Anolis sagrei: one gene and its partners. The protein of the gene in region 1 purifies or fractionates together with the protein of each later gene. This does not show direct contact. Links are inferred from orthologs where the notes say so. Each region holds a gene or a part of one and is shown in the gene's direction. Other genes may lie near its edges.

Evidence for each region.
Region 2: the proteins of OTUB1 (region 1) and SLC7A11 purify together in Homo sapiens (affinity purification with western blotting; 5 studies listed by BioGRID, with this or other methods). This does not show direct contact. The link is inferred for Anolis sagrei from reciprocal best matches to the Homo sapiens genes OTUB1 and SLC7A11.
Region 3: the proteins of OTUB1 (region 1) and UBE2E3 purify together in Homo sapiens (affinity purification with mass spectrometry; 3 studies listed by BioGRID and IntAct, counting the BioPlex papers as one, with this or other methods). This does not show direct contact. The link is inferred for Anolis sagrei from reciprocal best matches to the Homo sapiens genes OTUB1 and UBE2E3.
Region 4: the proteins of OTUB1 (region 1) and FOXM1 purify together in Homo sapiens (affinity purification with western blotting; 4 studies listed by BioGRID, with this or other methods). This does not show direct contact. The link is inferred for Anolis sagrei from reciprocal best matches to the Homo sapiens genes OTUB1 and FOXM1.

The regions. Positions count from the first base shown.
Region 1 is NC_090032.1:15,294,765-15,302,757, forward strand, and holds the start of OTUB1 (ubiquitin thioesterase OTUB1), read left to right. Parts: upstream 1-4,976; 5' UTR 4,977-5,033; coding exon 5,034-5,088; intron 5,089-7,993. UniProt on the Homo sapiens protein: Hydrolase that can specifically remove 'Lys-48'-linked conjugated ubiquitin from proteins and plays an important regulatory role at the level of protein turnover by preventing degradation.
Region 2 is NC_090025.1:44,305,109-44,312,762, reverse strand, and holds the start of SLC7A11 (cystine/glutamate transporter), read left to right. Parts: upstream 1-4,647; 5' UTR 4,648-5,140; coding exon 5,141-5,417; intron 5,418-7,654. UniProt on the Homo sapiens protein: Heterodimer with SLC3A2, that functions as an antiporter by mediating the exchange of extracellular anionic L-cystine and intracellular L-glutamate across the cellular plasma membrane.
Region 3 is NC_090021.1:188,322,171-188,329,374, reverse strand, and holds the start of UBE2E3 (ubiquitin-conjugating enzyme E2 E3), read left to right. Parts: upstream 1-4,199; 5' UTR 4,200-4,214; coding exon 4,215-4,364; exon of another isoform or gene 4,365-4,368; intron 4,369-4,838; exon of another isoform or gene 4,839-5,151; intron 5,152-5,259; exon of another isoform or gene 5,260-5,656; coding exon of another isoform or gene 5,657-5,719; intron 5,720-7,204. UniProt on the Homo sapiens protein: Accepts ubiquitin from the E1 complex and catalyzes its covalent attachment to other proteins. In vitro catalyzes 'Lys-11'- and 'Lys-48'-, as well as 'Lys-63'-linked polyubiquitination.
Region 4 is NC_090025.1:104,604,154-104,612,132, forward strand, and holds the start of FOXM1 (forkhead box protein M1), read left to right. Parts: upstream 1-4,970; 5' UTR 4,971-5,115; intron 5,116-7,979. Other genes in the region: TULP3 (tubby-related protein 3), read right to left, coding at 1,341-1,384. UniProt on the Homo sapiens protein: Transcription factor regulating the expression of cell cycle genes essential for DNA replication and mitosis. Plays a role in the control of cell proliferation. Also plays a role in DNA break repair, participating in the DNA damage checkpoint response.

The DNA.
Region 1 (7,993 bases):
AAGAGGAAGGAAAGATGGAAGGAAGGAAAGAAAAGGGAGGGAAGGAGAAAGAGGGAGAGAGGGAAGGAGGGAGGGGAGAGGAAAGGGAGGAATGACAAAGGGGAAGGAAGGAAGGAGAAAGAGGGAAAGGGAAGGAGGAAGGAAAGATGGAAGGAAGGAAAGAAAAGGGAGGGAAGGAGAAAGAGGGAGAGAGGGAAGGAGGGAGGGGAGAGGAAAGGGAGGAACGACAAAGGGGAAGGAAGGAAGGAGAAAGAGGGAAAGGGAAGGAGGAAGGAAAGATGGAAGGAAGGAAAGAAAAGGGAGGGAAGGAGAAAGAGGGAGAGAGGGAAGGAGGGAGGGGAGAGGAAAGGGAGGAATGACAAAGGGGAAGGAAGGAAGGAGAAAGAGGGAAAGGGAAGGAGGAAGGAAAGATGGAAGGAAGGAAAGAAAAGGGAGGGAAGGAGAAAGAGGGAGAGAGGGAAGGAGGGAGGGAAGAGGAAAGGGAGGAATGACAAAGGGGGAGGAAGGAAGTAAGGAAGGAAGGAAGGAAGGAGAAAGAGGGAAAGGGAAAGAGGGAGGAAAGATAGAAGGAAAGAAAAGTGAGGGAAGGAGAAAGAGGGAGAGAGGGAAGGAAAGATAAAGGAAGGAAAGACAAAAGGGAGGGAAGGATGAAAGGGTGGAAGGGAAGGAAGGAAGAGTAGGAAGGAAAGAGAAAAGGAAGGAAGGAGGAAAAGGTGGGAGAGACTAGAGGGAGGGGAAGGAGGAATGGGAAGGAAAGACAAAAGAGAAAGAGAAGGATGAAAGGGTGGAAGGGAAGGAAGTAGGGAGGGAGAAAGAGGGAGGTAAGGAATGGAGGGAGGGAAAGAGGAAGGAAGGATGGGGAAAGGGAAAAAAAGAGTGCGGAAAGAAAGATGGAAAGAAGGATGAAAGGGTGGAAGTGAATGGAGGGAAGAAGGGAGGAAGGAAGGTTTTCCCTGTCATAGGCAGTAAGAGCACCTAGAGCTTTGGAGGGTTTCTGTTCTACCATCTCAAAGCTCCCTGCTTGAGCGGTGATGGCACGATCATCAGCATAGATGAAGCTCTCTGTCCCTTCTGGCAGTGGCTGGTCATTTGTGTAGATGTTGAACATGGATGGAGCAAGCACGCTCCCCTGAGGCAGGCCGTTCTTCTGTTTCCGCCATCTGCTTCTCTGGTCCTGGAACTCAACAAAGAAGCTCCTGTTTTGTAGCAGGTTTCCATTGAGGCGGGTGAGGTGGTCGTCCTTTGTGATATTATACATTTTTCTCAAGAGGAGGCAGTGGTTCACAGTCTCATAATCCGCTGACAGGTCTATGAAGACAGCTCCTGTGATCTGCTGCCTTTCAAAGCCATCTTCTCTGTGCTGAGTCGGGTTCAGCACTTGCGATGTGCAGCTTTTGCCTTTTCTGAAGCCAGCTTGCTGTGGAATCAGACAGGGGTCTATTTGTTCCATAGCATTGAGTCAATTGGCCAAGAAAGAGTTTAACTGCTATTATTTGAATACTATGGGAGCTGTAGTTTTGCAAAGGGCCAATCATTCCCATTGCATTGAGTCAATGCCAAACTGTATTCACCTTACAATTGGCCAAGAAAGAGTTTAACTGCTATGCTTGAATGCTATGGGAGTAGTAGTTTTGCAAAGGGCCAATCATTCCCATTGCATTGAGTCAATGCCAAACTGCATTCACCTTATAATTGGCCAAGAAAGAGTTTGACTGCTATGCTTGAATGCTATGGGAGTTGTAGTTTTGCAAAGGGCCAATCATTCCCATTGCATTTGAGTCAATGCCAAACTGTATTCACCTTATAATTGGCCAAGAAAGAGTTTGACTGCTATGCTTGAATGCTATGGGAGTTGTAGTTTTGCAAAGGGCCAATCATTCCCATTGCATTTGAGTCAATGCCAAACTGCATTCACCTTATAATTGGCCAAGAAAGAGTTTGACTGCTATGCTTGAATGCTATGGGAGTTGTAGTTTTGCAAAGGGCCAATCATTCCCATTGCATTGAGTCAATGCCAAACTGTATTCATCTTATAATTCGCCAAGAAAGGGTTTGACTGCTATGTTTGAATGCTATGGGAGATGTAGTTTTGCAAAGGGACAATATTTCCCATTGCATTGAGTCAATGCCAAACTGTATTCACCTTATAATTGGCCAAGAAAGAGTTTAACTGCTATTATTTGAATGCTATGGGAGTTGTAGTTTTGCAAAGGGCCAATCGTTCCCATTGCCAAACTGCATTCATCTTATAATTGGCAGAGAAAGAGTTTAACTGCTATGCTTGAATGCTATGGGAGTTATAGTTTTGCAAAGGGCCAATCATTCCCATTGCATTGAGTCAATGCCAAACTGCATTCACCTTATAATTGGCCAAGAAAGAGTTTGACTGCTATGCTTGAATGCTATGGGAGTTGTAGTTTTGCAAAGGGCCAATCATTCCCATTGCCAAATTGTATTCATCTTATAATTGGCCATAAAAAAGAGTTTAACTGCTATGCTTGAATGCTATGGGAGTTGTAGTTTGGGTTGACTGATTGGTTTGTGTTGATCATTAATGCATCATTGGAGCAGGGTTTTTTTCCATCTCGACTAAAACAGGCTGTGTTCCGACCACTCCTGAAAAAGGTCTCCCTTGACTCCACGGTGCTGAACAATTACAGACCAATCTCCAACCTCCCTTTTTTGGGCAAGGTGCTGGAGCGGGTGGTCGCTTCCCAGCTCCAGGGTTTTCTGGGATTGGTCTCGAGGGCACGGTTTTGTCGTGGCTCTGGTCCTTCCTGAGCCACGGTCCTTCCTGGAGGGTCGATCCCAGTTGGTGAAGCTGGGAGACGCCTGCTCGGACCCCTGGCCTTTGACTTGTGGGGTCCCGCAAGGCTCCATTCTGTCTCCCATGCTTTTTAACATCTACATGAAACCGCTGGGAGAGATCATCCGGAGTTTTGGAGTTAGGTGCCACCTCTACGCAGATGACACACAACTCTACTACTCATTTCCACCTAACTCCAAGGAAGCCCCTCGAGTGCTAGACGAGTGCTTGGCCGCTGTGGCTGTCTGGATGAGGAGGAACAAGCTGAAGATCAATCCCGACAAGACAGAGGTCCTCCTGGTCGATCGCAAACCGGACTGGGGTATAGGGTGGCAACCTGAGCTGGACGGGGTTACACTCCCCCTGAAGTCACAGGTCCGCAGTCTGGGTGTCCTCCTGGACTCATCACTTACGCTTGAGGCTCAGGAGTCGGCGGTGTCCGGGAGGGCCTTTGCACAATTGAGACTCGTGCGCCAACTGCGACCATACCTCGTAAAGGCTGATCTGGCCGGAGTGGTCCATGCCTTGGTCACCTCTAGATTGGACTACTGTAATGCACTCTACGTGGGGCTGCCCTTGAAAACGGCTCGGAAATTCCAACTGGTGCAACGGTCGGTGGCCAGGATGTTAACTGGTGCTCCTTACAGAGAGAAGTCAACCCTCCTGTTTAAGGAGCTCCATTGGCTGCCGTTTATTTTCCGGAACCAATTCAAGGTGCAAGTGCTCACCTACAAAGCCCTGAACGGTTTGGGACCTGGCTACCTGCGTGATATGAACGCACACGATCCCTCCGTTCATCTGGAGAGGCCCTGCTCACACTCCCATCTGCGTCGCAAGCGCGTTTAGTGGGGACGAGGGACAGGGCCTTCTCCGTGGTGGCCCTCCAGACTCCATATCTGAACCCACACGTTCCCTCCGTTCATCTGGAGAGGCCCTGCTCACGCTCCCACCTGCGTCGCAAGCGCATTTGGTGGGGACGAGGGACAGGGCCTTCTCCGTGGTGGCCCCCCAGACTCCATATCTGAACCCACACGTTTCCTCCGTTCATCTGGAGAGGCCCTGCTCACGATCTCCCACCTGCGTCGCAAGCGCACTTGGTGGGGACGAGGGACAGGGCCTTCTCTGTGGTGGCCCTCCAGACTCCATATCTGAACCCACACGTTTCCTCTGTTCATCTGGAGAGGCCCTGCTCACGATCCCACCTGCGTCGCAAGCGCGCTTGGTGGGGACGAGGGACAGGGCCTTCTCTGTGGTGGCCCCCCAGACTCCATATCTGAACCCACATGTTCCCTCCGTTCATCTGGAGAGGCCCTGCTCACGATCCCACCTGCGTTGCAAGCGCGCTTGGTGGGGACGAGGGACAGGGCCTTCTCTGTGGTGGCCCCCCAGACTCCATATCTGAACCCACACGTTCCCTCCGTTCATCTGGAGAGGCCCTGCTCACGATCCCACCTGCCTCGCAAGCGCGCTTGGTGGGGACGAAGGACAGGGCCTTCTCTGTGGTGGCCCCCCAGACTCCATATGTGAACCCACATGTTCCCGCTGTTCATCTGGAGAGGCCCTGCTCACGATCTCCCACCTGCGTCGCAAGCGCGTTTGGTGGGGACGAGGGACAGGGCCTTCTCTGTGGTGGCCATCCAGACTCCATATCTGAACCCACACGTTCCCTCCGTTCATCTGGAGAGGCCCTGCTCACGATCTCCCACCTGCGTCGCAAGCGCGTTTGGTGGGGACGAGGGACAGGGCCTTCTCTGTGGTGGCCCCCCAGACTCCATATCTGAACCCACACGTTCCCTCCGTTCATCTGGAGAGGCCCTGCTCACGCTCCCCCCTGCATCGCAAGCGCGCTTGGTGGGGACGAGGGACAGGGCCTTCTCCGTGGTGGCCCCCCAACTTTGGAACTCTCTCCCCAAGGACATCAGACAAGCCCCAACGTTGGCAGTCTTTAGGAAGAGCTTGAAGACCTGGCTGTTCCAGTGTGCCTTTCCAGAATAGGAAACTCCCAGCACCATGTCCCAAACGCGCTTTGTTAGAGATTTAAGAAAAAAGCTGGTCCAGGGAAGTGACGTCACGGCCTGGAAGGCACGCGGCTTGTGTTGTGATGACGTCACAGCGGGAGGCCTACCAAAGAGAAGCGCAGGCGAGAGAGAGGGAGAGAGGAGCGCTTCCGGTTTGCCCACTATGCCACCCGGAAGCGCTTGCTTTCCAGGGCTGTGAGGAGGGGAAGATGGCGGCGGAGGAGCCTCAGCAGCAGCCGGAGCCCCTTGGTGGGGACACGGACGGTAATGGGAGACCTCAGGGGGCACAAAGGGGGACTCACCTCCGGGAATGGAGAGCTCGGGCCTCCGAGGGAGCGACTGCCTCCCTTTCCTGGCCTCGAATGGGCCCTTTACTTTTTCCAATGGAGCCCCCGGTTGGACTAGGCCTCGCCGTTGCCTTGCCCCGGCAACCAGGGGGGCGTGGGAGGGGCGCCCCCGTCTCCATGGAAACGGAGGAGCAGAAAGGGCCTTGTAACTTTGGGCTTCAGAAGAGAATGCTGAAGGAAGGAAGGAAGGAAGGGAAGAAGGGAGGAAGGAAGGGAGGAGGGACAGGCTTCCATATTGGGAATATTACTATTATTATTATTATTATTATTATTATTATGGTCTCCTTGCAAATTGGAGGTTCTAAACTGCTTTAATACTACACTAGGTCTGGGCCAACTAAGGCCTTCCAGATGTTTTGGACTTCAACTTCCAGCATTCCTAGCAGCCTCAGGCCCCTTCCCTTGGACTTCAACTCCCAGCATTCCTAGCAGCCTCAGGCCCCTTCCCTTGGACTTCAACTCCTACCATTCCTAGCAGACTCAGGCCCCTTCCCTTGGACTTCAACTCCCAGCATTCCTAGCAGACTCAGGCCCCTTTCCTTAGACTTCAACTCCCAGCATTCCTAGCAGCCTCAGGCCCCTTCCCTTGGACTTCAGCTCCCACCATTCCTAGCAGCCTCGGGCCCCTTCCTTTTCCCACTGAACTCATACCATTTCTAACAGTCTCAGGCCCCTTCCCTTGGACTTCAACTCCCAGCATTCCTAGCAGCCTCAGGCCCCTTTCTTTACCCTCTCACCTCCTACCAGGCCCCTTCCTTTTCCCACTGAACTCATACCATTCCTAACAGCCTCGGGCCCCTTCCTTTCCCCCCTGAACTCATATCATTCCTAGCTGGGAGTTGAAGTCCAATGGAAGGGGCCTGAGTCTGCTAGGAATGGTAGGAGTTGAAGTCCAAGGGAAGGGGTCTGAGGTTGCTAGGAATGCTGGGAGTGGAAATCCAAGGGAAGGGGCCTGAGGCTGTTAGGAATGGTAGGAGGTGAGAGGGTAAAGAAAGGGGCCTGAGGCTGTTAGGAATGGTGGGAGTTGGAGTCGAAGGGAAGGGGCTTGTGGCTGTTAGGAATGTTAGGAGTTCTGGGGGAAAAGGAAGGGGCCTGAGGCTGTTAGGAATGCTGGGAGTTGAGAGGGGAAAGGAAAGGGCCTGAGGCTGATAGGAATGCTGGGAGTTGAAGTCCAAGGGAAGGGGCCTGAGGCTGTTAGGAATGGTAGGAGTTGAGGGGGGAAAGGAAGGGGCCTGAGGATGCTAGGAATGCTGGGAGTTGGAGTCCAAGGGAAGGGGCTTGAGTCTGCTAGGAATGGTATGAGTTCAGGGGGAAAAGGAAAGGGCCTTAGCCTGTTAAGAATGGTGGGAGTTGAAGTCCCAAGGGAAGGGGCCTGAGGCTGCTAGGAATGAGGAGTTGAAGTCCAAGGGAAGGGACCTGAGTCTGCTAGGAATGCTGGGAGTTGAAGTCCAAGGGAAGGGGTCTGAGTCTGCTAGGAATGAGGAGTTGAAGTCCAAGGGAAGGGGGCTGAGGCTGCTAGGAATGGTGGGAGTTGAAGTCCAAGGGAAGACCTAAGTCTGCTAGGAATAATGGGAGTTGAAGTCCAAGGGAAGGGGTCTGAGTCTGCTAGGAATCGTAGGAGTTAAAGTCCAAGGGAAGGGGCCTGAGTCTGCTAGGAATGGTGGGAGTTGAAGTCCAAGGGAAGGGTGCCTGAGGCTGCCAGGAATGGTGGGAGTTGAAGTCCAAATACCCAGAGGGCCCAAGTTAGTCCAGGTCTGTTTTTAACCCCATTTGAAAACAACTTTACGAAGGCACAACTTTGCTAGGAGATAATGAGGTTGATTGGATGTCATGGCTGTTCTTCTGAAGGAAAGATAACCATGGTTTGTGCTGTGGAAATACCTCTGTTGCCGCCAGTGGGTGCAATCGTAGTTAAAATGTTGTTATTCTTGCATTTCGACCCAGCAGCGATTCCTAACCTTTGATTCTACAGGAGTTTGGTACTCCCAGAAGCACCAGCCCATGGTGATCCGCATCTTGTCACATTATGAATCGATTACTGCAATGTGTTCTACATGGGGTTGCCTTTGAAGACTGTTTGGAAGCTTAAATTGGTCCAATGGGCGGCTGCCAGTCTGCTACCGAGCACAATTCAAAGTGCTGGGTTTAGCCCATCTTACTTGTCTGAATGTATCTCCCCCTATGAACCAATTCAGAGATTAATATTGTCTGGGAAGGCCCTGGTCTCGGTCCCGCCTGCATCACAAGCACGAGTGGTGGGGATGATAAACAGGGCCTTCTCAGTGGTGGCCCCTCCCTAGTGACATTAGATCAGCTCCCTCCCCTTCTAGCCTTCAGAAAGAAAGTCAAAACCTGGCTCTGCGATCAAGCTTTCAGAGAATAGTTCAATTCAATAATAGACCTGGAATATGTACAACAAACAAATAACAAATCAGAATAGTGGATAAAACAATCTCAATATATTATCGAAGGCTTTCATGGCCGGAATCACTGGGTTGTTGTAGGTTTTTCCGGGCTATATGGCCATGTTCTGGAGGCAATTTTGGAGGCAAAAAATTGCCTCCAGAACATGGCCATATAGCCCGGAAAAACCTACAACAACCCAATCTCAATATAAAATTATAAAACTAATTGGAAAAATAACTTAAAATTAAACTTAAATAAACAACACATCACACAACAGTTACCACATGATGAACTCTTAAAATTTAGACTTAAAAGGCATTAAAAGCTGAGATGGTTTACAGCAGGCATGGGTAAACTTCGGCCCTCCAGGTGTTTTGAACTTCAACTCCCATAATTTCTCACAGCCTACCGCTGCC
Region 2 (7,654 bases), on another chromosome or scaffold:
CGGTGGCGCAGTGGGTTAAATCCCTGTGCCGGCAGGACTGAAGACCGACAGGTCGCAGGCTCAAATCTGGGGAGAGGCGGATGACCTCCCTCTATCAGCTCCAGCTCCTCATGCGGGGTCAAGAGAGAAGCCTCCCACAAGGATAATGAAAACATCAAATCATCCGGGCGTTCCCTGGGCAAGGTCCTTGCAGACGGCCAATTCTCTCATACCAGAAGTGACTTGCAGTTTCTCAAGTCGTTCCTGACATGATAAAAAAACTTTTTAAAAAACATTGAAAAAGAAAGACAGCTCAAACTGACTAAATCGGGGCAATCATAATTTGGACATATCATAAGATGTCATGACTCATTGGAAAAGGCAGCAATGCTTAGTAAAGTGGAAAGCAGTAGAAACTGAGGTACACCACACTACAAATTGAATTAATTTGGTTAAGCCATATCCTGAGTTTCTAAGACTTGAGCTGGATAGTTGATCTTGGGAAGTGCTCACACATAGGATTGCCACAAGATGGACTTGCTTGATGGCAAACAACAGTAACAACGACAATGTTATTTTTAATTCATTTCTTTCCACCTCTAGTCAGTGACTTTCCTCTGCCATCTCTAGTCTTTCCCTCTTTCCAAACATACATGGGAAGAAATGATGGGAATGCTCTAAGCAAAAAATATTATCCATGCACAATCTAATGGGAAAGATTTACTATGAGGCTGATCTTTAATTTGTGGTGTGAATTATAAGGCAACATAACAGTGAAATTGCTAGCATCAAACCACTACAGAAGGAAAGACACCTGTACTCCAAAGTATCCCCGAGCATATTGCAAGACATTTCCAAACCAGCCCTCACCTCCAGATGCTTGTAAAGCTGCTTTTAATTGTAGTATAAGATGACAATGATGATGATGATATAAAGTGAAGTTGGTTTACTTGTTAACTGGTTTTGATATTTTCCCACTCTGAATTGAAATGGAGGGACCATCTGGAAAGCTCTATAGGAGCTTGAGTTCTTGTGACATAGTTTTTAAGATTTTAGTTCTATGTCCATTCACTACATTATTTTCAAGGAACTGCTTGTAGCACGTTATTATAATGATTCCAAGGTTTTTTTTAAAAATCAGGGTACAATTTAATGATGTGATTCTGTGGGGTTTCAAGGGCAAATTTTCTCCTCTTTGAAATTAAAATAATTTTAAGTTATAAAGTAATAGTTCTAAATTGTATTTCATAAATGAACTATAGTAATATAATTCTACACACAATACATAAAAACAAGAAGGGAATATGGGACTTGGTTGTACAAAGTTGCTATTCCATAGCAGTTACACTGACATTGATGATAGATACATACTGGGATAGATACCTTCTACATTACACTTCTTTTCATTTGTGGAATTGCACCAATTTGACAACTTCTACACACTCTTGTAGGAGCTGTGGTGGCGCAGTGTGTTATTTATTTATTTATTTACTTTATTTCTATACCGCTTTTTTCAGCTCTTAAACCGTTAAACTGCAGAACTTGCTGATTGGAAGGTTGGCCATATAAATCCGTGTACGGGGTGAGCTCCCGTTGTTAACTCAAGCTTCTGCCAACCTTGCAGTTCAAAAACATGCAAATGTGAGTAGATCTATAGGTACCACTTCAGCAGGAAGATAACATTGCTCCATGCAGTCATGCCAGCCGCATGACCTTGGAGGTGTCTACAGACAATGCTGGCTCTTCGGCTTATTTATTTATTTATTTATTTAACGACAGTTAGAAATGGAGATGAGCACCACCACTCCGATTTGGGCTCAACTCAACTTAATGTCAAGGGGAAACCTTTACCTTTGTAAAGGTACCATTACCCTTGTAATGCTGCCTTTCTCCTTTCTCCTGTTCTGTATTTTTTTTAAAAAATGAGGGAATTTTGCAAACATAGCTGTAAAATATCAAATACTGTACATAGAAAACAGACAGCCTGAGAATAGTGAAGGGAGAGGGGGAAAATTACTCCCCTGTCATCATTTTACTGCTGCCATGTTGGCATAGAAGTCAGGTGGACCCATTGCACCAAGCTAGGTGATGAGAATGTCCTGGGATTGGGAGCTATTGATGGGGTTTGCACATCAATAGCAAAAGATGAGTTAACTGAGGTTTGAAGATGGGGATTAAAATACCACAGCTGGTGACAAATGTGTCAGAAAATAGTCCAAGAGTCCTAGAAGTAGAGCAACAAAAACTCCAGCTTCTGATACATCTGAAAGAGCCCTAAAATGTAAATAAACAAGGGAGAAAGAAAGATAATGAAATATGAAACTCAAAACATGTAAACATTAGCAAACTGGATTTACACAAGATCACTTACTTCCAAATTATTATGTGGAGTCCTTCATTCCTTTCCCTCCATTCCATTTTCATCTCTATCATTTCTCCTGCTGAAATGTACTATCAAAGCAGAGTATGGCTAAACATTATGCTTGATTATTGTGGTGAATTAAGTAATCTGCCAGTATAATGAATTAATTAGTACTCTAATGTTAATACCCTTTACAGGGCCTGGCATTTCTTTGACATTAACAAGATACACTTGCAGAAAGAGAGATTCTTTGAAGGAATTTCAGCCTAAAGTCAGTAGGCACAGTGCCTGCGTTCTCTTTAATGATCAGTACTTAGTATTCCAGGTTAATCCTGATTGGCAACTTAGTGTTTCTATAGAAAGAAAAGAAAAACATTTCCCTGGTTAATGAGGATTTCTTTCACTCTCCTAGACAGGATTAATTTAAATGGAGTAACACGGTCGAAAACCACCATTTTAATAGATATTTCTTTACACGTAGAAGTCTTTCTGCAGAATTTCCAATGAAGGACTCCTGCGTGGAACAAGCCAGGAGAGAGAGAGAGAGAGGAGGGGGAGGGAGACCTCCTTCTTGTTCTTCCTGTTCCTCTGCAGACCTTGTGATAGCTTCATGTTCCAGACATCAATATTTTGGGGACTGTTTGTTCTTCTGTATAGATTAGCCACTTTAGGCAACTACTTTGGGAATATTTCTTTTTATTCTTTCACCCAGCAACTGTGAATAGCCTTCACATACAGGCTGAAATGCAGAGTATGCATTGTATTGCACTAATATGCATATCTCTAAGGAACACTGTCAAGAAGGCTGACATTCATACTTGCCTTTAAGCATATATGACTCATAAGAGCTCACAATGACCTATTAGAGAATGCACCAAATGATGCAACTTAAGCACAGGAAATTAAACTATGGTAATTGAACTTTGGGAGTGTTCTGATTTCTGGATACAATACAAATTGTCTCTCCTCCTGATCAAGATATGGTCAAATGCAGGCCAGGGGAGGCACCTCACGGTTTTCTAATGATCACCTTGAGTGTCCTCTATTTTGACTGCCTGATGCGGAACAGCAAATATTGCTCTCTGCCATGCCTACAGGGCATATAGATCCTAAAGATAGCCAAATTATTTTGCCACATATATTCTGGGTATCAAAGTTCAAGGAGAATATTGACAAGCTAAAACATGACCAAAAGGTAAAAGACCTGGAAACAAAGACCCATGAAAATCAGCTTGAGGAGCTGGGTATGTTTAGCTTGGAGAAGAGGAGAGGTAACATGATATATGAATATATATGATATATGAATATATTTAAATATATGAAATAATGTCATATTGAAGATAAAAGAAAATTAATTTAGTTTGCTTCACAGACTAGGATACAAACCAATGAATTGAAATTATAAGAAAAGAGAACATTAGGAAGAACTTTGTTAACAGCTGTTGGACACTGGAATAGATTTCCAGGGAGATCAGTTGACTTTGGTGATCTTTAAATAGAAGTTGAATAGCCAGTTTACAGTAGTGTTTTAGTTGTGTATTCCTGCATGACGGGGCTTTGCAATAGAGTCCAGGCATGGGCAAACTTTGGCCCTCCAGGTGTTTTGGACTTCAACTCTCAGAAATCCCAGCCAGTTTAACTGGCTGTTAGGAATTGTGGGAGTTGAAGTTCAAAATACCGAGGGCTAAAGTTCGCTCATGCCTGCACGACAAAACTATCCTTCTCAAGTCTATGATTCTATGAGGCAAATAATCTCACCAGTAGCTTTGTGCCCTATGCATCAATTCTAGCAATGTTTAAAGTAAGATACCACTGTTAAGAGCTATTTTGATGTGACCTGGGCCATGTTTCAGGGAGCCATTAGAAAAAAAGTAATAAAGATAGACACCAAATACATGAAAGAATTATCAAATTATGTAAAATTAGCCATTATTAGCCTAGACTGACTGAGTTGCTAGGAAACAACAGAAAGCAACAAGGTTGACATGTACTCTTGTGAAAATATATGTGGTCCAAATCAAATTATCAACAACAACAACAAAAGAATGCACATAACCTATAACACCTCCCTACAGTTAAGGGAATTGAATTTCTTTCTGCACTTTCTGAAGTGTAGGCAGATTTTTAAAATAACAATAAACAAAAAATAAACAGACATGGCACTATTTATTTGCTCTGTTTTCTCCTCTTTGTATTTCAGCATTTATAAGGTGCACTGCTCCCACCCCATGTTGGAAAAGAGAGTTTTGTTTCTCACTGAGATTCTATCATTGTTTGGGAGTGTGGCAATATAGTAAACCTTGCCACGAGGGATTGCTTACGGGGAATTTATTTCCCCCTTTCTCAAGTTGTGCAACATCCTGCTACTGTAGTAAAGGGGAAAAGTGCTGAGTAATGCTAGATTTGGATCCTGCTCCTATGGCTGATGCAAACCTGGAGAATTTGCATCATCATTCAGCAAGAGTAACTTGGTATGACAGGCGAGCTTAAATACAAGACCATGCGGAAGCTGAGCCGGCTTCCAATGACAGAGCGGCATAAAGGTGGCTGGGAGAAAGGGCAGGTGTTCCTGAGTAGTGTTTAGACAGCCGTCCAAAGTAAAAGACACTTGAAGAGTTTGATACTTGTTGGCACAAGTGGGTTGAAAGGCTGCAGGCGGTGTGTGTTCGTGTATGTGTGTTTTTAAAGGAGTTAGCTAGTTAGACAAAAGGAGGGAGAGAGGAAAGAAAGACCCGAGGTGGCTTTCTGTTCAGAGAGCTTTTCAAAGTTCTCAGCTTGGTGTGTGGGCAGCACCAAAACATGTTTAGGAAGTCTCCTGTGCCGACAATCTCTAATGGCAGCTACCTGCAGGGGCATTCAAATGGCACATTGCCCTCTGGCTTACACACCAAGGCGGCCCAGAGAGAGAAAGTGGTGCTGAAGAAGAAAGTGACTTTGCTGAGAGGGATATCTATTATAATTGGCACTATCATTGGAGCAGGGATCTTTATATCTCCCAAAGGAATCCTCGAGCACACAGGCAGTGTGGGCTTATCTTTGACGGTCTGGACTGTCTGTGGCATCCTGTCACTCTTTGGTAAGTTTGTGAGCATTCATAATTGATCCACTGGGGTAGATATAAGATATTTGATTCTGGGGATTAAAAGCCTGGTTTGAGACTTACTTGTACTGCTTCAGTATTTTATTTTATTTTTTGGTGGGAGGGAAGAAGGTCTTTTGCTGCTTGGCAAGCATTCAGATACTCACACAAAACTCCGAGGAATACTTTTATCAGAACTTTTAACACCAAGCGATATTCCTTACAATTCCCTGTAGTAAGCGGAGAGGCTAGTCTCCTTTAGCATATCATAAAGTTTGCAGTCTGTATTGACTTTCTGTTGAGAATGAGTTGTAGCATGCTGGTGGAGGGTTGACAGCAAGGGAAATGAACTGCTTAGTCTGAAGAACACCTGCGAATATGCGCGTCATTGGCTATACAAAATGCAATGGGGTAAACGTCTGCTGAACTATTTTCTAGCAGGAAAGCAGTGGTGTGGATGAGGGAATAATTAAACTGCTTTTTTTTAAAATAAAGAGTTTACATTTTCAAATCCATTTGGAATTTATGCATGTGGAATTGGAACGCCTCACCACTTATCCTTAAATGTCAGAGAGACTTCTTTCATGAAAGATAGGCCCCTTGCCTACACTTATTTATTTTATTCTGTTCAGTTGTCTAGCAGGTGTCATTTTTGCAGGTTTCATTATTCATGGATTTGATTAATATGTTCTCTCTAGGAATCTTTAGGTCTTCCAGAAAAAGTCTATGGTCAACCGTTACCATAGAGTCATATTGTAGGAACTTTAGAATCTTAGGGAAGTATACTCTTGGGGAAAAATATAATGTTTTTTGCGTTGCTGTGAGTTTTCCGGGCTTTTATATTGAGTGCCTTCCAAGTCGTCCAGTCTTCTGTGTGCCGAGGGGGAAGTCTCTCAATCGGTATCAGCTATGGCTTGAGGTTCTGGGTTTTAGCTTGCCACTTCTAGACTCTCGCTTGCTGAGGTGTTCCTGCGAGTATCTCTGTAGATCTTAGAAAACTATTTCTTGATTTAGGGCATTGGCTGGGTCCCCTCAGCCTCTGAGGATGCCTGCCATTGATATGGGTGAAACATCAAGAGAAAATTCTTCTGGAAGTTGGCCATGTAGCCCAGAAAACTCACAGCAACCCAGTGATTCTGGCCATGAAAGCCTTCAACAACATAATCTTTTTTTATTTGTGTTTTTCATTTTTGCGAGGGTCTTGTGTCCCTAACTCCTATGGATGCAGAGGGCTGCCTTTATTAGTTAACACATAAGCATTAGGCCTGGGCGGTTTCATTCGTTAATATTGTAATTCGTTAAATATTCGCTAATTTTAGCAATTACAAAACGATTACAAAACTTATTTTTAAACCCGGAAGTGTTTTTAAATATTGAAACGGCAGGCGCCAAAAAAATTTGTATTTCCGTCCATTTCGGAAATACGTAAGATGGCCTGGCGATGCTTGCTGGGAGCTCTCCTCTCTCTCCTCTCTTAGCCAGTCAGAGGCAGAGTCTGAAAGAGGAGGAGGAGGAGGAGGAGGAGAGGGCGGGGAAGGCACCGGCTGAGCAAGCGAGCGAGAGGGCGAGCGAGAGGGCGAGCGAGAGGGCGAGCGACCCTCAGCGGGAAGGCGGCCCGTCCCTCCTTCCTCACCTTTGCGGTGGGTGTGCTTCATTCTCCCAATTCCTTAGTGGAGGGCTGTGCTTCGTTCTCCCAATTCCTTAGCGGAGGGCTGGGCTAGATGGCCTTTGGGGAGCCCTTCTCCCAATTTCGCATTGCTTTGGAGGAGCCGGGCCCGACTCGGCGGCAGCGCTTGAGGGCCCGCCAGAGTGAGTGCCTGCCTTCCCTCCTTAATAATAATTTCTCCTCCCTATTCTACTAAATTAATAATTAAATTAAAAAATATTGAAAAAATATTGAAAAAAAAGGGCGCCATCTTTACAAAATGTTTTGTAAATATTAACGAAATTTCGTAAATACCGAACTTTTTTAAGGGAAAATTTTGTAATTATTTTAAATATCGAAACAAAAAAACCCCCCAAATACAAATTGATTTTAGAAACAAATTTTTGCGTTGTTACCCAGGCCTAATAAGCATATTTCATCTAATGAGCTCAATACTCTTCTCTGTCTCTAATGCATTGTCACAACAACTCTGTGTGGTAGGTCTGTCTAAGAAAGCTGAAGGCAGTCCATGAAATGTATCTGAACCCAAGTGAATTGATTGGCTCAGTGCAAATTGGAACTGGGGTTT
Region 3 (7,204 bases), on another chromosome or scaffold:
CACCCTGATGGGTTCGACATTGGGAGAATAGAAGGCGCATAAACACACACAAAGGTTTTGACTCTCCTTTAAGAGAGGAAATCAGGATATAAATATGTACAATAATAACAAGGAAAAGGAGAAGGGGGAAGTAGACGACATCTTGTTCTTGAAGTATGCAGAAGCAGTATTGTTTGAAAGTGAAGCAGGTTTCCAATCCTAACCATCATCAATATTCTTGTATATGGTAATTTTCTTGGGTTCGGGGGGAGGGGAGGCCTCAGGATCTACCCTAGCAAACCTTTTGTATCGTTACCTCAATACCCCCATGCATATGGGATATATTGAGCATGGTGATTAGATCATGATATGAATAAACATAACAGTTTAAATAATGTAGCAGTAAGGCCTTTTCGCGAACTACGATGAGAATTTCGGGGGGGGGGGGCTGAAGCCCCTCAAGCCCCCCCCCCCCCCCCGGGCTACATACCTGCACACAGTATATGTTAACTGGACTTCTAGTGTAGTTTGAATGCTAAAGCAAGACTCCAAAGCCCCTTCTACACTGCAATATAATCCAGATTGTCAAAGCTGATAATCAAAGGTATCTTTCCACATATATAACATCTCAGCCCCCTTCCACATTGCCACATAATCCACCTTTTCAAAGCAGATAATCCACATTATCAGTTTTAAATTGGACTGTATGAGTTTACACTGCCATATAATCCAGTTCAAAGCAGACAATCTGAATTTTATATGGCAATATAGAAGGGGCCTCAGACTTTTAACACTTTCAACTTCAGAGAAGACTATGATTGGACTCTGGACTTCCATGTCAGGGCCCTTCCACACAGCGCTATAGCCCAGAATATCAAGGCAGAAAATCCCACAATATCTACTTTGAACTGGGTTATCTGAGTCCACACTCAAGATAATACGGAATTTTCTGCCATGACATTCTGGAATATAAGGCTGTGTGGGCCTTCAATTTGGCATTGGCAAATTGATACACGACCGAGGATATTTGTATTTTTACATCCATTTATTTGATATTCCAGTTTCCCCCTCAGTACTAGAATAAAGTTAAAACAAAGAACAATCTGAACAAACTATTAATAGAAACATAAAAAATAAATGTGTTGAGGAATAATTTCCGTTTCAAAAACACAAGTTTAAAATCTTTTAAAAAACAGATTCAAACATAATGAAACACACACACACACATACAGCACTCACCGCGTGGAAAGCTCCATCTGCAGCAACAAGTAAAAAACAAAACACAACAAAAGGCCTGATTAAATAAAATAGTAAAAAAAATATATTGGAAAAACAAAGAGAAATCTGCCTGTAGAGATTTGGGAACAATCATAGAGAAGGCTTTCACACCTGGTTTCCCAGACCATGATGATTTATTATATATTTATTATATATTTATTATTATTTACAAGCTGTCCCCTGCCATGTGTTGCTGTGGCCCAGTCTGTGTATATGTGTTTTGTGTGTGTACATGAATGTGTATATGTGTGTTGTGTGTGTGCGTGTGTGTGAGGGTTTGTGCATAAGTTGTAACGTAATTTTTGGTTTTTTTGGATTTTTAAGCCCTTTCTGTTGTGTTTTTCAGAATTATTATGAGTGATGGGCACTCGTTGGCCTGATAGGTGTCTTGTGTCCAAATTTGGTGTCAATTCGTCCAGTGGTTTTTGAGTTATGTTAACCCCACAAACGAATATTACATTTTTATTTATATAGATTGTATTTCTCGACCAGCCTTTTCATCCAGTGACCTCAGGGCAGTATAAGTCAGTTCTCCTTCTAGTACCTGACACAGGGGATTGGCAGTGGTAGCAATGTAGGGCAAAGATCTGTCCGCACTAGCAGTAACTGGGTGCATCTTAACTGCAAAATGAATTAGTTTTACCCCACTTTTACTGCCACACTCAATGTTGTGGAATCCTGAGAGTTGTTGTTTAGAGGGACACTAGGGCCCCTTCTACACTGTCATATAAAATCCAAATTATTTGATTTGAAGTGGATTACATGGTAGTGTAGACTCATATAATCTGGCTGAGAAATGTATAGTTTGACACTTGGGCAATAAAAATGAAATGGACAGCTCATATAGGATGTGTGGCACCTGGCTTGAATACAGTACACGTGAAAGGAATCTAGGAGCCTGAGGAGCCTTCTATACTTTGTATTAGTCTACACTGCCATATAATCCAGTTCAAAGCAGATAATGTGGATTTTTAAGGAAAGTGTAGGTGCCTGCCATAGATGCAGGCAAAACTTCAGGAGAGACTGCTTCTAGAACATGGCCATACAGCCCGAAAAACCTACAACAACCCAGTGATTCCGGCCATGAAAGCCTTCGACAGTACAAAGGTGATTCTACTTGAACATTAGGAATAACTTCCTGTGAGAGAGCTGATCAGCAGTGGAACTCTCTGTCTCAGTGTTTAATAGAGTCTCCAAGTCCTGGAGGCTTTTACAGAGGCTGCCGGGAGTGCTTTGATTGTGGAAGAACGGGATTGGATTGGGTGGCCTTTGGGGCCTCTCCCGACTCTATAGAAGTCCAGGATTTCCAAGCGCAACACACACACTCTGGCTGCAAATGACTGAAGGATTCTATTTGAACATTAGGAAGAACTTCTTGTGAGAGCTGTTCAGCAGTGGAACTCTCTGCCTCAGGGTTGTAATGGAGTCTCCAAGTCCTGGAGGCTTTTAAAGAGGATGGATGGCCATCTGTCGGGGGTGCTTTGGTTGTGGAAGAACAGGGTTGGATTGGGTGGCCTTTGGGACCGCTCCTGACTCTATAGGAGTCCAGCATTTCCAAGCACAACACACACACACTGGCTGCAAATGACCGAAGGATTCTATTTGAACATTAGGAAGAACTTCCTGTGTGAGAGCTGTTCAGCAGTGGAACTCTCTGCCTCAGGGTTGTAATGGAATCTCCAGGTCCTGGAGGCTTTTAAAGAAGATGGATGGTCATCTGCTGGGAGTGCTTTGATTGTGGAAGAACGGGGTTGGACTGGGTGGCCTTTGAGACTGCTCCTGACTCTATAGGAGTCCAGGATTTCCAAGTACAACCACACACACTCTGGCCGCAAATGACAGAAGGATTCTTCTTGAACATTAGAAAGAAATTCCGGTGTGAGAGCTGTTCAGCAATGGAACTCTCTACCTCAGGGTGTAATGGAGTCTCCAAGTCCTGGAGGCTTTTAAAGAGCATGGAAGGCCATCTGCCAGGGGTGCTTTGATTGTGGAAGAACACGGTTGGACTAGGTGCCCTTTGGGGCCACTCCTAATTCTATAAGAGTCCAGGATTTCTAAGCACAACACACACACACTCTGGCTGCAAATGACCGAAGGATTCTACTTGAACATTAGGAAGAACTTCCTGTGAAAGAGCTGTTCAGCAGTGGAACTCTCTGCCTCAGGGTTGTAATGGAATCTCCAGGTCCTGGAGGCTTTTAAAGAAGATGGATGGTCATCTGCTAGGAGTGCTTTGATTGTGGAAGAACAGGGTTGGACTAGGTGCCCTTTGGGGCCACTCCTAATTCTATAAGAGTCCAGGATTTCTAAGCACAACACACACACACTCTGGCTGCAAATGACCGAAGGATTCTACTTGAACATTAGGAAGAACTTCCTGTGAGAGAGCTGTTCAGCAGTGGAACTCTCTGCCTCAGGGTTGTAATGGAATCTCCAGGTCCTGGAGGCTTTTAAAGAGGCTGGATGGCCATCTGCTGGGGATGCTTTGATTGTGGAAAAACAAGGTTGGACTAGGTGCCTTTGGGGCCTCTCCTGAATCTATAGGAGTCCAAGATTTCCAAATACAACACACACACACACACTGGCTGCAAATGACTGAAGGATTCTATTTGAACATAAGGAAGAACTTCCTGTGAGAGAGCTGTTCAGCAGTGGAACTCTCTGCCTCAGGGTTTAATAGTTTCCAAGTCCTGGAGGCTTTTAAAGAGGAGGGATGGCCATCTGCCGGGAATGCTTTGATTGTGGAAGAAGGGGGTTGGACTGGGTGGCCTTTGGGTTCAGGATTTCCAAGGACAACACACACACGAGCTACTACTGCTGCCTTTGGCTGCAAATGACCAAAGGATTCTATTTGAACATTAGGAAGAACTTCCTGTGTGAGAGCTTTTCAGCAGTGGAACTCTCTGCCTCAGGGTGTAATGGAGTCCCCAAGTCCTGGAAGCTTTTAAAGAGGCTGGATGGCCATCTGCCGGGAGTGCTTTGATTGTGGAAGAACGGGGTTGGACTGGGTGGCCTTTGGGGCCTCTCCCAAGGAGTCCAGGATTTCCAAGCACAACACACACACGAGCTGCTGCTGCTGCCTCTGGCTGCACATGACCGAAGGCGAGGTGGGTGAGTGTATGCCTGGGAGGACGAGAAGGGAGACTTTCCCTTTGGGGGGAAGGCTGCAAACTTAGGCCGGGAGAGAGAGGAAAGGAAAGGGGTTCCTGGGTTCCCTTGGGCAGCCAACTCTTTGTCCTTGACCAGCAAAGCGGGGGAAGGTAAAAAAAAAAGAGAGAGAGAGTGAGAAAGAGCAGAGCGCGTGCGCGCGCACTAAAGCCGACAAAGCAGCAGCACCAGCGGGGGCGCGCGCTCCAGCCTGGGAGAGCGCGCGCGCCGTCCTTTTCCCTTTTCTCTCTCTCTCTCCCTGCGTTTGGAACTTTGCTGACTGCAACGTTCTGAATCCGAAAGTAGGGGGCGGAGGCGAGAGAACGTTCGATTTGCCCCCCCCCCCTCCCTTTGGAGGAGAAAGAGAGAGAGAGAGAGGAAAAAAAGGGGAGCGCTCCGCAGCGCCACCGTCCGGCCATCGCGTGTATTGCACCTCCCCTTTTTTTCTCTCTCCCTTTCTCCCTCTCCTTCTCTCTCTCTCTCTCCCACCCCCCTTCTCTCCGGCTCTCAATGATCCACACTGCCCGGCCACAGAGCCGCCTCCTCCTCCTTCTCCGCCGCCCGATTGCCCCCCTCCCAAGCTGCTGCTGCTGCTGCCTCTCCTGCTTCTCCTCCTCCTCCTCCTCGTAGCCCCTTCCCAGCCCCCAAGGACACAACGCTCTCCCTTCCCTTCCCTTCCCTCCCCCCTTCCCTCCCTCCCCTCCTCCTCCTCCTCCGAGTGAACGTCGGGACAGGACGGCTGCCAAGGTAAAAAAAGGAGACACGGGTTAGGACAAGCAGGGAAAGGGGGGAGGGAAGGAAGGGAGAAGGGGAGGGAGGAGGGGAAGGGGGGTGGTCGTGGAAAAGAGAGCTTTGTTCTGGCTGCCTGGCCCCACTCGAGTTCACGCCTCACTTGGTGGCACACACACACACACACAACACACGCGCGGAGTGGACGGATCCGGGTGGGAGAAGCTTCCTTCCTGCCATTACAGCAGAGAGAGAGGAGGAAGAAGAAGAGGAGGAGGAAGAGGAGGAAGAGGAGGAGGAGGACGACTCTGTGTTGAAGGCAACACACACACACACACACAGAGGAGGGCAAAGCTGCCCCTGCTGCAATTCCTGATCAGGATCTACCTCCTCTTCCTCCTCTTCCTTCTCCCTCTTTCTCTTTTTTGGGAATGATCTAATCCCAATATTTCAACCCCCCCTCTCTTGCATGTGATCCTTCCTGGAGGAATCCCCATTTATTTATTTTTTAGGGGGCAAAAAGATGTCTGTCTGTTTTGTAGAAACTGATCCAGAGTCGGTGGTGGCGTTGAAAGCTTTCCAGAAGGTGCTTCTTCTTCTTTTCCTTCTTTGCTTCCTCCCTTCGCCAAACCTTCTCCTCAGTTGGGCCCATTCTTCTTCCCCTTCCTTCCTTCTTTCCCCAAACCTTCTCTCCAGTTGGGCCCAAACATTAGGGTGAAAATTGAGAGGCAGTGGGTTTGTTGGGATCTGTGTCCCCCCTCCCCCCCCCTTTGTATATATGTTCTCATTACTATAAATATAAGTGTGTTGTTGGGGCCCGGGGAGCAAAGAGGAAGGGGCTCTTAACCTAGTGTCTCTAAGGTAAATATTATTCAGGGCAGAGAGAGAGCCTATTTTGGGGTCAGTCTCGGTTGTTTACAACCCTGTTGTCCTAAGTTGCTGTGAGTTTTTCTGTGCTGGATGGCCATGTTCCAGAAGCATTCTCTCCTGACGTTTCGCCCACCTCTGTGGCAGGCATCCTCAGAGGTTGTGAGGTCTGTTCGAAACTGCAGGGTGACAGAAAGATATATGCATTTTCCAGGCTGTCTGGCTATGTTCCAGAAGCATTCTCTCCTGATGTTTCACCCACATCTATGGCAAGCATCCTCAGAGGCTGTGAGGTCTGTTTGAAACTAGGCAAGTGGGGTTTGTATATCTGTGCAAGGTGAGAGAAAGATATATGAGTTTTCCAGGCTGTCTGGCTATGTCCCAGAAGCATTCTCTCCTGATGTTTCGCTCACCTCTATGGCAGGCATCCTCAAAGCCTGTGAGGTCTGTTGAAAACTAGGAAAATTGGGTATATATATCTGTGGAATAATGTCCAAGGTGGGAAAAAGAACCCTTGTCTGCTTGAGGCAAGTGTAAATGTTTTCTGAATGTTGTTCTTTATTTAGAGTTGTTTAAATACTGGTAGCCAGATTTTGTTCCCCAGGTAGGAAGCACCCAGGCTTGGAAGTTGAAAGGCCATTCGAAGCTAATCAAGGTGGCCAATGGCAACATTCACACTTGCCTCAATGTAAATGTTTTCTGAGTGTTCTTCTGTATTTAGTGTCCTGATTTTAGAGGTTTTTTTAATACTAGTATCCAGATTTTGTTCCCCAGGCAGGAAGCAGCCAGGCTTTGAAGCTGCAAGACCATTAAAAGCTAATCAAAGTGGCCAATGGCAACATTCACATTTGCCTCAAGCAGACAATAACAACAACAACAACAACGCATTATTCTTTGATACATCACACAGTCCTAGACACTTGGGAAGTTTCCGATGTGTGATCCAATGCAACAGCCAGCAGAGTGATCTTATCTGCTGTGGACTCATCTTGTTGTGCTTCAAATAATAATAATAACTTCATTTTTATACCCGGCTAAGAGTTCTTCCTCCCACCCTGGACCTTCCACAGATATATAAACCTCACTTGCCTAGTTTCCAACAGACTTCACAACCTCCGAGGATGCCTGCCATAGATTTGGGCAAAATGTCAGGAGAGAATGCTTCTGGAACATGGCCATACAGCCTGGAAAACTCACAGCCACC
Region 4 (7,979 bases), on another chromosome or scaffold:
CCTTCCTTGTCTCCTTCCTTCCCTCTTTCACTTTTTTATTTCATTCTCTCCCTCCTTCTCTCCTTCCTTCCTTCCTTCCTTCTCTCCTTCCCTTTCTCTCCCTCCTTCTCTCTTTCCTTCCTTCTCTATTCTTCTTTTTTCCTTCCTTCTCTCCCCTCCTTCTCTCCCTCTTTCTCTCCCTCCTTCCTCTCTGCCTTTCTTTCTTTCCTTCCCTCCTTCGTCTCTCCCTCCTTCCTTTCTTCTCTACCCTTCTTTACTTCCTTCTCTCCCTCCTTCTTTCTTTCCTTCCTGCCTTCTTTCTGTGTGTATGCATATATGTGTGTATATATGTGTGTTTGTGTATATATATGTGGTTTTGCGTATGCATTGTAATGTATTTTTTGGCTTTTTAAAGTCCCTTCTGCTGTGTTTTTCAGTGTTTTTATGAGTGATGGTCACTTGTTGGCCTGAGAGGTGTCTTGTGTCCAAATCTGGTGTCAGTTTCCCCAGTGGCTTTTGAGTTATGTTAATCCCACAAACGAACATTACATTTTTATTTATATAGATTAGCATAGCACAATATTAGTGTTATATAGGAGCCCCCGGTGGTGCATTGGGTTAAACCCCTGTGCCGGCAGGACTGAAGACGGACAGGTCGCAGGTTCGAATCCAGGGAGAGGCGGATGAGCTCCCTCTATCAGCTCCAGCTCCTCATACGGGGACATGAGAGAAGCCTCCCACAAGGATGATAAAACATCAAATCATCCTTGCAGGCGGCCAATTCTCTCACACCAGAAGCGACTTGCGGTTTCTCAAGTCGCTCCTGACAGAACAAAAAAAAAGTGTTCTATAGTACTATATTGTTGCTAGGGGGAAGGAGATGGAAGAATCAGAGCTGGAAGTCACCACATCTAGCCCACCCCACGCCATGCAGGAAAAGAACAATCAAAGCAGCCCCGACAGATGGCCATCCAGCTTCTGCTTCAAAACTTCCAGAGATCTGGGTGCCCTCCTCCCTGCTCTTCGCCTTTAGGCGCCTCCCTTCCACTGATAAAAATAGGCTTGACTGATGAAAAGGACCAAGGAGATGGGGGAAGGAGCAGCCGCCATGGCGCCCCCTTCCCTTCTTTCCGGGTGAGAGGAAGCAGCGCCTCTATGATACACTGCAAAAGCCTTCTCTCCGGCCGCAGAGCTCGAGACAGGGAGGCCTCCGCGCGCTTGCTGATTGGCGGGGATCCCTGCAAGCTCGCGGGCCGGGCGTCGCCCTCCTGGGCTTCCCTCCAGCCTCTGCTGCGGCCCCAGCACCCCCCTCGCCCAAAAGGGGGCGCCCCGCCAAGAGGACCCTCGGGCCCTGGCCTCACCTGGCTCCCATGGTAGCCAAAGTCACTCCGCTCCGGCTGGCCATCCTGCCATTGCTATGGCAACCAGGGGAGGGGGCGGCCCCCTCGCCGGGTTGGGACCGCCCCCCTCCTCCGCCTTCCCGCCCCTGGAGCCTCCGCGAGGCACTGGGCGGCGCGTGCGCACAACGCCTGCTCCTCATTGGGCGCAGCCAGAGCGGGGTGAGGGAGAAAACAAAGCCACGCATCAACTTGCAAAGAGCGTGACGTCGGCCTTCTCCTCAGACCTGGGCCCAGGGCTCTTCAACATCTTTCTCTACCAGGGTTGATTGAAAAGTAATGCCTCCACCTTCGTTACTTGGGTTTGGATGGGAATATTTTAATAAATCAAACGCAGAAATAATCCTTACAATGTGCTCTTAAACTACCACTATTCACTTTGCCACATAATCACCAGACAATTGGATACGTTTCTGCCAACGATGAACAAGTTTTCTGAAGCCTTCACAGAACAAGTCGACACTGTTTCCGCAACCAGCGTCAGCATCCTGGGTACCCATCGTGCACAGATCTTCCGAAATGCCAATTATGCTTGAAATTCCAACTGACCACCTTTATTAGCCATCAAATGCTAATCAAGTTGGTCAGTTGAAACATTCACACCTAGTTCCAGCAGACAAGAGTTCTTTGTCCCACCCTGGTCATTCCACAGATATATAAACCCATTTTCCTAGTTCCAACAGACCTCACTACCTCTGAGGATGCTTGTCATAGATGCAGGTGAAACGTCAGGAGAGAATGCCTCTAGAACATGGCCATATATCCCGAAAAAACCAACAACCCAACAAAAATAGTGTTGCAAAAATTCTGAGAGTGCCTTGGACTGCAAAAAGATCCAACCAGTCCATCCTCCAGGAAATAAAGTCCAACTGCTCACTGGAGGGAAGGATATTAGAGGCAAATATTAAGTACTTTGGCCACATCATGAGAAGAAAGGAAAGCTTAGAGAAGAAAATGATGCTGGGGGAAATGGAGGGAAAAAGGAAGAGGGGCCGAGTAAGCGTTTACAGATGAAAAATCTCAGGGAGGTATTCACTCGAGTCAGATTTGATCAGCTCGAGACAATGGTTAGATTGTCAAATGGACAATGTATTGGGAATCTCACATCAGAACAACATATTTTATGTGTGGTCAAGACCCAAAAATAACATACAAAACAGCTCTGTACTTAAGCAAAACAATACGTCTGAGAACCACATATTTAGGGCTGATTGGGGTAAGTTGTAGGGGTGATAATGAAATATGATGTATATACTCAGCTTGATCAGTTTATCAGTTTTATCATGTCTTATCATATTTATTTACTGTATCGTTATAAGTGTCTTATTTTAACTTACTACGTGGAGTGTGATCGGGTCTTATCAGACCTTGTTGTTCTGTTTCTTATTGTGATATGGCCTAAGGGTTAATCAATAAAATTACTACTACTACAGATGAAAAATGGAAAGACTGGACGACGTGACTGGACACTGTTTGAACAAGGAGACTCTAATTATATATGTTTTTAATTGATATTGATTGTTTTTACTTCTTTTATATTTATATTAATGTTTTAATTGTACTTTTTGGTATTGGTACTGACTGTAAACCGCCCTGAGTTGCCTGTGGGCTGAGAGGGGTGGTATATAAATCTAGTAAATAAATAAATAAATATATTATTATACTGTACTATACTACTGGGGGCCCCTAGTGGCACAGCGTGTGTGTGTATGTGTGTGTTTGTATGTATGTATGTATATCTATCTTGTAAGCCGCTCTGATTTCCCTTCGTGGTGAGAAGGGCGTCATATAAATGTTGTAAATAAATAATATTATATTACTAGTGGTACCTGCCACGCATTGCTGTGGCCAACCTTCCCTTTTTCCCTCCTTCCTTCACTCCCTCTTTCCTTCTTTCCTGTCTTTCCTTCTCTTCTTCCTTCCTTCTCTATCTATTTCCTTCCTTCCCCCTTTTTCTTTCTCTTCTGCTCTTTTCTTCCTCCTCTCTTTCCTTCCCTCCCTCTTTCTCTACATCTTCCCCCCTTCCTTCGCTCCCTCTTTCCTTCCTTCTTTCTTTCCTTCTCTCCTTCCTTTCTTCTCTAACTTTCCTTCCTTTCCCCTTTTTCTTTTCCTCCCTTTCTTCCTTCTCTACCTCTTTCCTTCCTTTTCTCTTTGCTTATATGCTTCCTTCTCCCTTTCCTTCTTCCCTCCCTTTCTTTCTTTCTTTCTTTTCTCCCCTTCCCTCCTCTTTCTTCCTTTTTTTCTGTATTGTCATTTAGCTTTTCGTCATTTAGCTTTTTAAGTCCCTTCTGCTGTTTTTTTATGAGTGAAGGACATACATTGGGTTGTTAGGTGTATCATGTCCAAATTTGGTGTCAATTCCCCCAGTGATTTTTGAATTCTGTTAACCCCACAAACGAACATTACTTTTTATTTATATAGACTAGCCGTCCCCTGCCACACGTTGCTGTGGCCCACATGGGGGTTCTGTGTGGGAGGTTTGGCCCAATTCTATCGTTGGTGGGGTTCAGAATACTCTGTGATTGTAGGTGAACTATAAATCCCAGCAACTACACCTCCCAAATGTCAAGATTCTATTTTCTCCAAACTCCACCCGTGTTCACATTTGGGCATACTGAGTATCCGTGTAGAGTTTGGTCCAGATCCATTATTGTTTGAGTCCACAATGCTCTCTGGATGTAGGTGAACTAGAACTCCCAAACTCAAGGACAATGCCCACCAAACCCTTCCAGTATTTTTTGTTGGTCATAGGAATTCTGTGTGCCAAGTTTGGTTCCATTCCATCGTTGGTGGAGTTCAGAATGCTCTTTGATTGTAGGTGAACTATAAATCCCAGCAACTACAACTCGCAAATGACAAAATCAAAAAAATTTGAGTGAAGGACATACATTAGGTTGTTAGGTGTCTTGCATCCAAATTTGGTGTCAATTCCCCCAGTGCTTTTTGAGTTCAGTTAATCCCACAAACGAACATTATATTTTGATTTATATAGATCATATTATATTGTATTATATCATAAGTATAAATATTATATTATTATAAAATATTGTATTATTAAGTATAAATATTATTTTACAACATTATTAATATCTCTGTTTTGGTGATTCCGTTTATTTCTGGAACTGCAGGACAGTTAACTGTCAACATAAATCCTAAACGCCCCAGATGGCGTCTGATCCTGCAAAGTCAGCAGGGCCAGCTCTTGAATGGGACGCCGCTGACAAATGCCAGCTGTTGCAGGCAGCATTTCAGAGGAAGAAACTGGCAAAACCACATTGGAGGATGAAAACCCTTTGGGACTTCAACTCCCAGAATCCCTTATCCTGGGTCAGAGCAGCTGAGGCTTCTGGGAGTTGGAGTCCCTTCCAAACCGTGGAGAGCCAGAGCTGGGGAATGACTGTGGCAGGTGAGGGCACCCATATACAAACTCAAAACACCTATCCTGACGCATGTGTACACATACACAGCAAGTCTGCCTCCGAAAGAGATGCGCCTGGGCCGCTGCTCCTACCGTTCGCTCTCCTTCCTCACAGGCTCCGCCCCCTGCGCTCTAATTGGCCCGGCGCCGTCACGTGGCGTCGAACGTCCTTGTTGGGCGCCAAATTCAAACAACCCAAGAGGCGGAAGACGGCGGTACCGACCGCCTGAGGGACTGGCGGCTGGCTCGCCACGTTCTCCCTTCAAGGCGGGGGAGAACGGGGCTTGCAGCCAGTCCCCGCCGCTCCAGCCCCAAGAACAGGTGAGAGAGGCGAGGATGGGGTCAAGAGGCCGGGGAAGGGACCAGTCCTTTAGGTTTGGTGGGAGAGAGCTTAGTGTGGAGGGAGGGCGGGATACACAGATTACACTATGCAACACTAATTTTGTTGGGTTGTTGTAGGTTTTTTCAGGCTATATGGCCATGTTCTAGAGGCATTCTCTCCTGACGTTTCGCCTGCATCTATGGCAAGCATCTTCAGAGGTAGTGAGGTCTGTTGGAATTAGGGAAAAGGATTTATATCTGTGGAATGACCAGGGTGGGACAAAGGACTCTTGTTTCCTGGAGCTAGGTGTGAATGTTTCAACTGACCACCTTGATTAGCATTTGATTGCCTGGCAGTGCCTGGGGCAATCTTTTGTTGAGAGGTGATTACATGTCCCATATTGTTTCCTCTCTGTTGTTTTGCTGTTGTAATTGTAGAGTTTTTTCAATACTGGTAGCCAGACTATTTGGAATAATCATAACCTTTTGGAAAGGCATGACCTTGATAGAGATCGTAACCATTTTGTAAAGTATGATCTTCCCAAGAAGAGTTACAAACTCACCTGAGTCAATCTTCTCCTTAGTGCAGTGGTTCTCAACCTGTGGGTCCTCAGATGTTTCAGCCTTCAATTCCCAGAAATCCTAACAGTTGGGTAAACTGGCTGGGATTTCTGGCAGGCCAAAACACCTGGGGACCCACAGGTTGAGAACCACTACCTTAGTGGTAAATTACTAGTATTTATACAAGGCAGTTTAGGCTTCTCAGCTGTTAGACTGATATACTTGGCTATCTCTTTGAACCGCTAGGAACAAAGAAATGCCAATGCATAAAATATGTAGCAGATCTTCAGAAGTGTTATTTCTGTTGCACAAAAATATATAATCTACTCTCCCATAAAATATATTGTTTTAAAATCATGTTCTTAAGAGACCAAAAAAATAAGTAGTCTTCGTTAAAAGTTAACATCGTTGATATACTTACAAGCTTTGTGTATTTAGCAAGAAGGTACATTGCTTATTGAAACAGATGTCAACTGAATTAAACTTAAAACTGTACTACACTGTACTATACTTCAACTCACTGTACTATACATCTGCTGCAAACAGACTCATATATTAACTGACATCTCACTGCAGCATACGGACTCTACTCCTGCTCTAACTGACTTTGTTCATTTCCATGGTTTCTTCCTTTCTGTTGAAATTGTCCACATGCTTGTGGATTTCAGTGGCTTCTCTGTGTAGTCTAACATGGTGGTTGTGAGAGTGGTCCAGCATTTCTGTGTTCTCAAATAAAATGCTGTGTCCAGATTGGTTCATCAGGTGCTCTGCTATGGCTGACTTCTCTGGTTGAAGTAACCTGCCTTGCCTTTCATGTTCCTTGATTCGTGTTTGGGCAATGATGCGTTTGGTGGTCCTTGTGTAGACTTGTCCACAGCTGCATGATATACGGTAGACTCCTGCAGAAGTGAGAGGATCCTTCTTGTCCTTTGCTGAACGTAGCATTTGTTGGATTTTCTGTAGATGGTTTCTATAGTGTGTTTCCTCATCAGCTTCCCTATGTGGTCAGTGGTTCCCTTGATGTATGGGAAGAACACTTTATATCTGGGTGAATCTTTGTCTTGACTCTCGTGGCTTGTTCTTGGTCTTGCAGACCGTGCAAAAAGAATCTGTGAACCCCACCTCCTCCAAGGTGAACTGAACCACCTAAACTGTGCTCTACAGGCCAATGGATACTCCACCTCAGACATCAGAATAGCTGCAAGACCGAGAACAAGCCACTGATAAGCTTGATCAGTATATCAGTTTTATCCCGTCTTATCATATTTATTTACTGTATTGTTATAAGTGTCTTATTTTAACTTACTATGTGGAGTGTGATCAGGTCTTGCCAGGCCTTGTTGTTCTGTTTCTTATTGTGATATGGCCTGAGGGCTGATCAATAAAATTACTACTACTACTATGTATATCTATACACAAGTCAGTCTGTCTGTACCACAAAGGCTGTTGCTAGGGTTTGTTTGTGTGTGTGTGTGTGTGTGTGTGTGTGCGTGTGTGTGCCAGGAGCAACTTGAGAAACTGCAAGTCGCTTCTGGTGTGAGAGAATTGTCCACCTGCAAGGACGTTGCCCAGGGAATGCTTGGATGTTTTGATGTTTTACCATCTTTGTGGGAGGCTTCTCTTATGTCCACACATGAGGAGCTGGAGCTGAAATAGGGAGCTCAACCCGCTCTCTTGAGATTCGAACCGCTGACATATGGTACAAGGGTTTAAGCTGTTGCTAGGTGAAGTAGCCCTTTGTGATTCGCTGGGAAAGAAAGGAGACCTGTGTTGGAGAGAGGGAGGAAAGAGCCACCAAGCATTTCCATGGAGACATTGTAAGACAGGCCCTTTCAGAGCTGCAGAAGGGAGGAATGGAGAAGGAAAGGAGGGGAGGGGGCGAGGGAAGAAAGGAAAAGAGGAAAGGTATGAAGAGAGGGAAGAAAAGACAGAAAGAGAAGGAGTGAAAGCAATGGGCCCTCCAACACCTGGGCAATATTGGGTATATACTTTAGTATGAAATGTAAGTGAATTTCATGCCAAGATATCTCCTTAAGCATTTACTGATATATGCAAACACTTGTGTTCAAAAACCCCAAATCCCAAACATTTCTGGTCCCAGTATTTAGAAGAATGGGATATTCCATTATGTAGGCTTGTCTGAAGTGGGCAGTGTGTTACTCATTGCGCCTGTGAAAAACCATCCCTCTTTGCTTGACTCTGCAAGGAAGAATTTGGTGTCTGTGTCTTTCAAGAAGTTGCAAGAGACTCAAGTGTTTTCTACAATGTGAATCCCTCTTCACAATTTTATAGGCAACAGGACA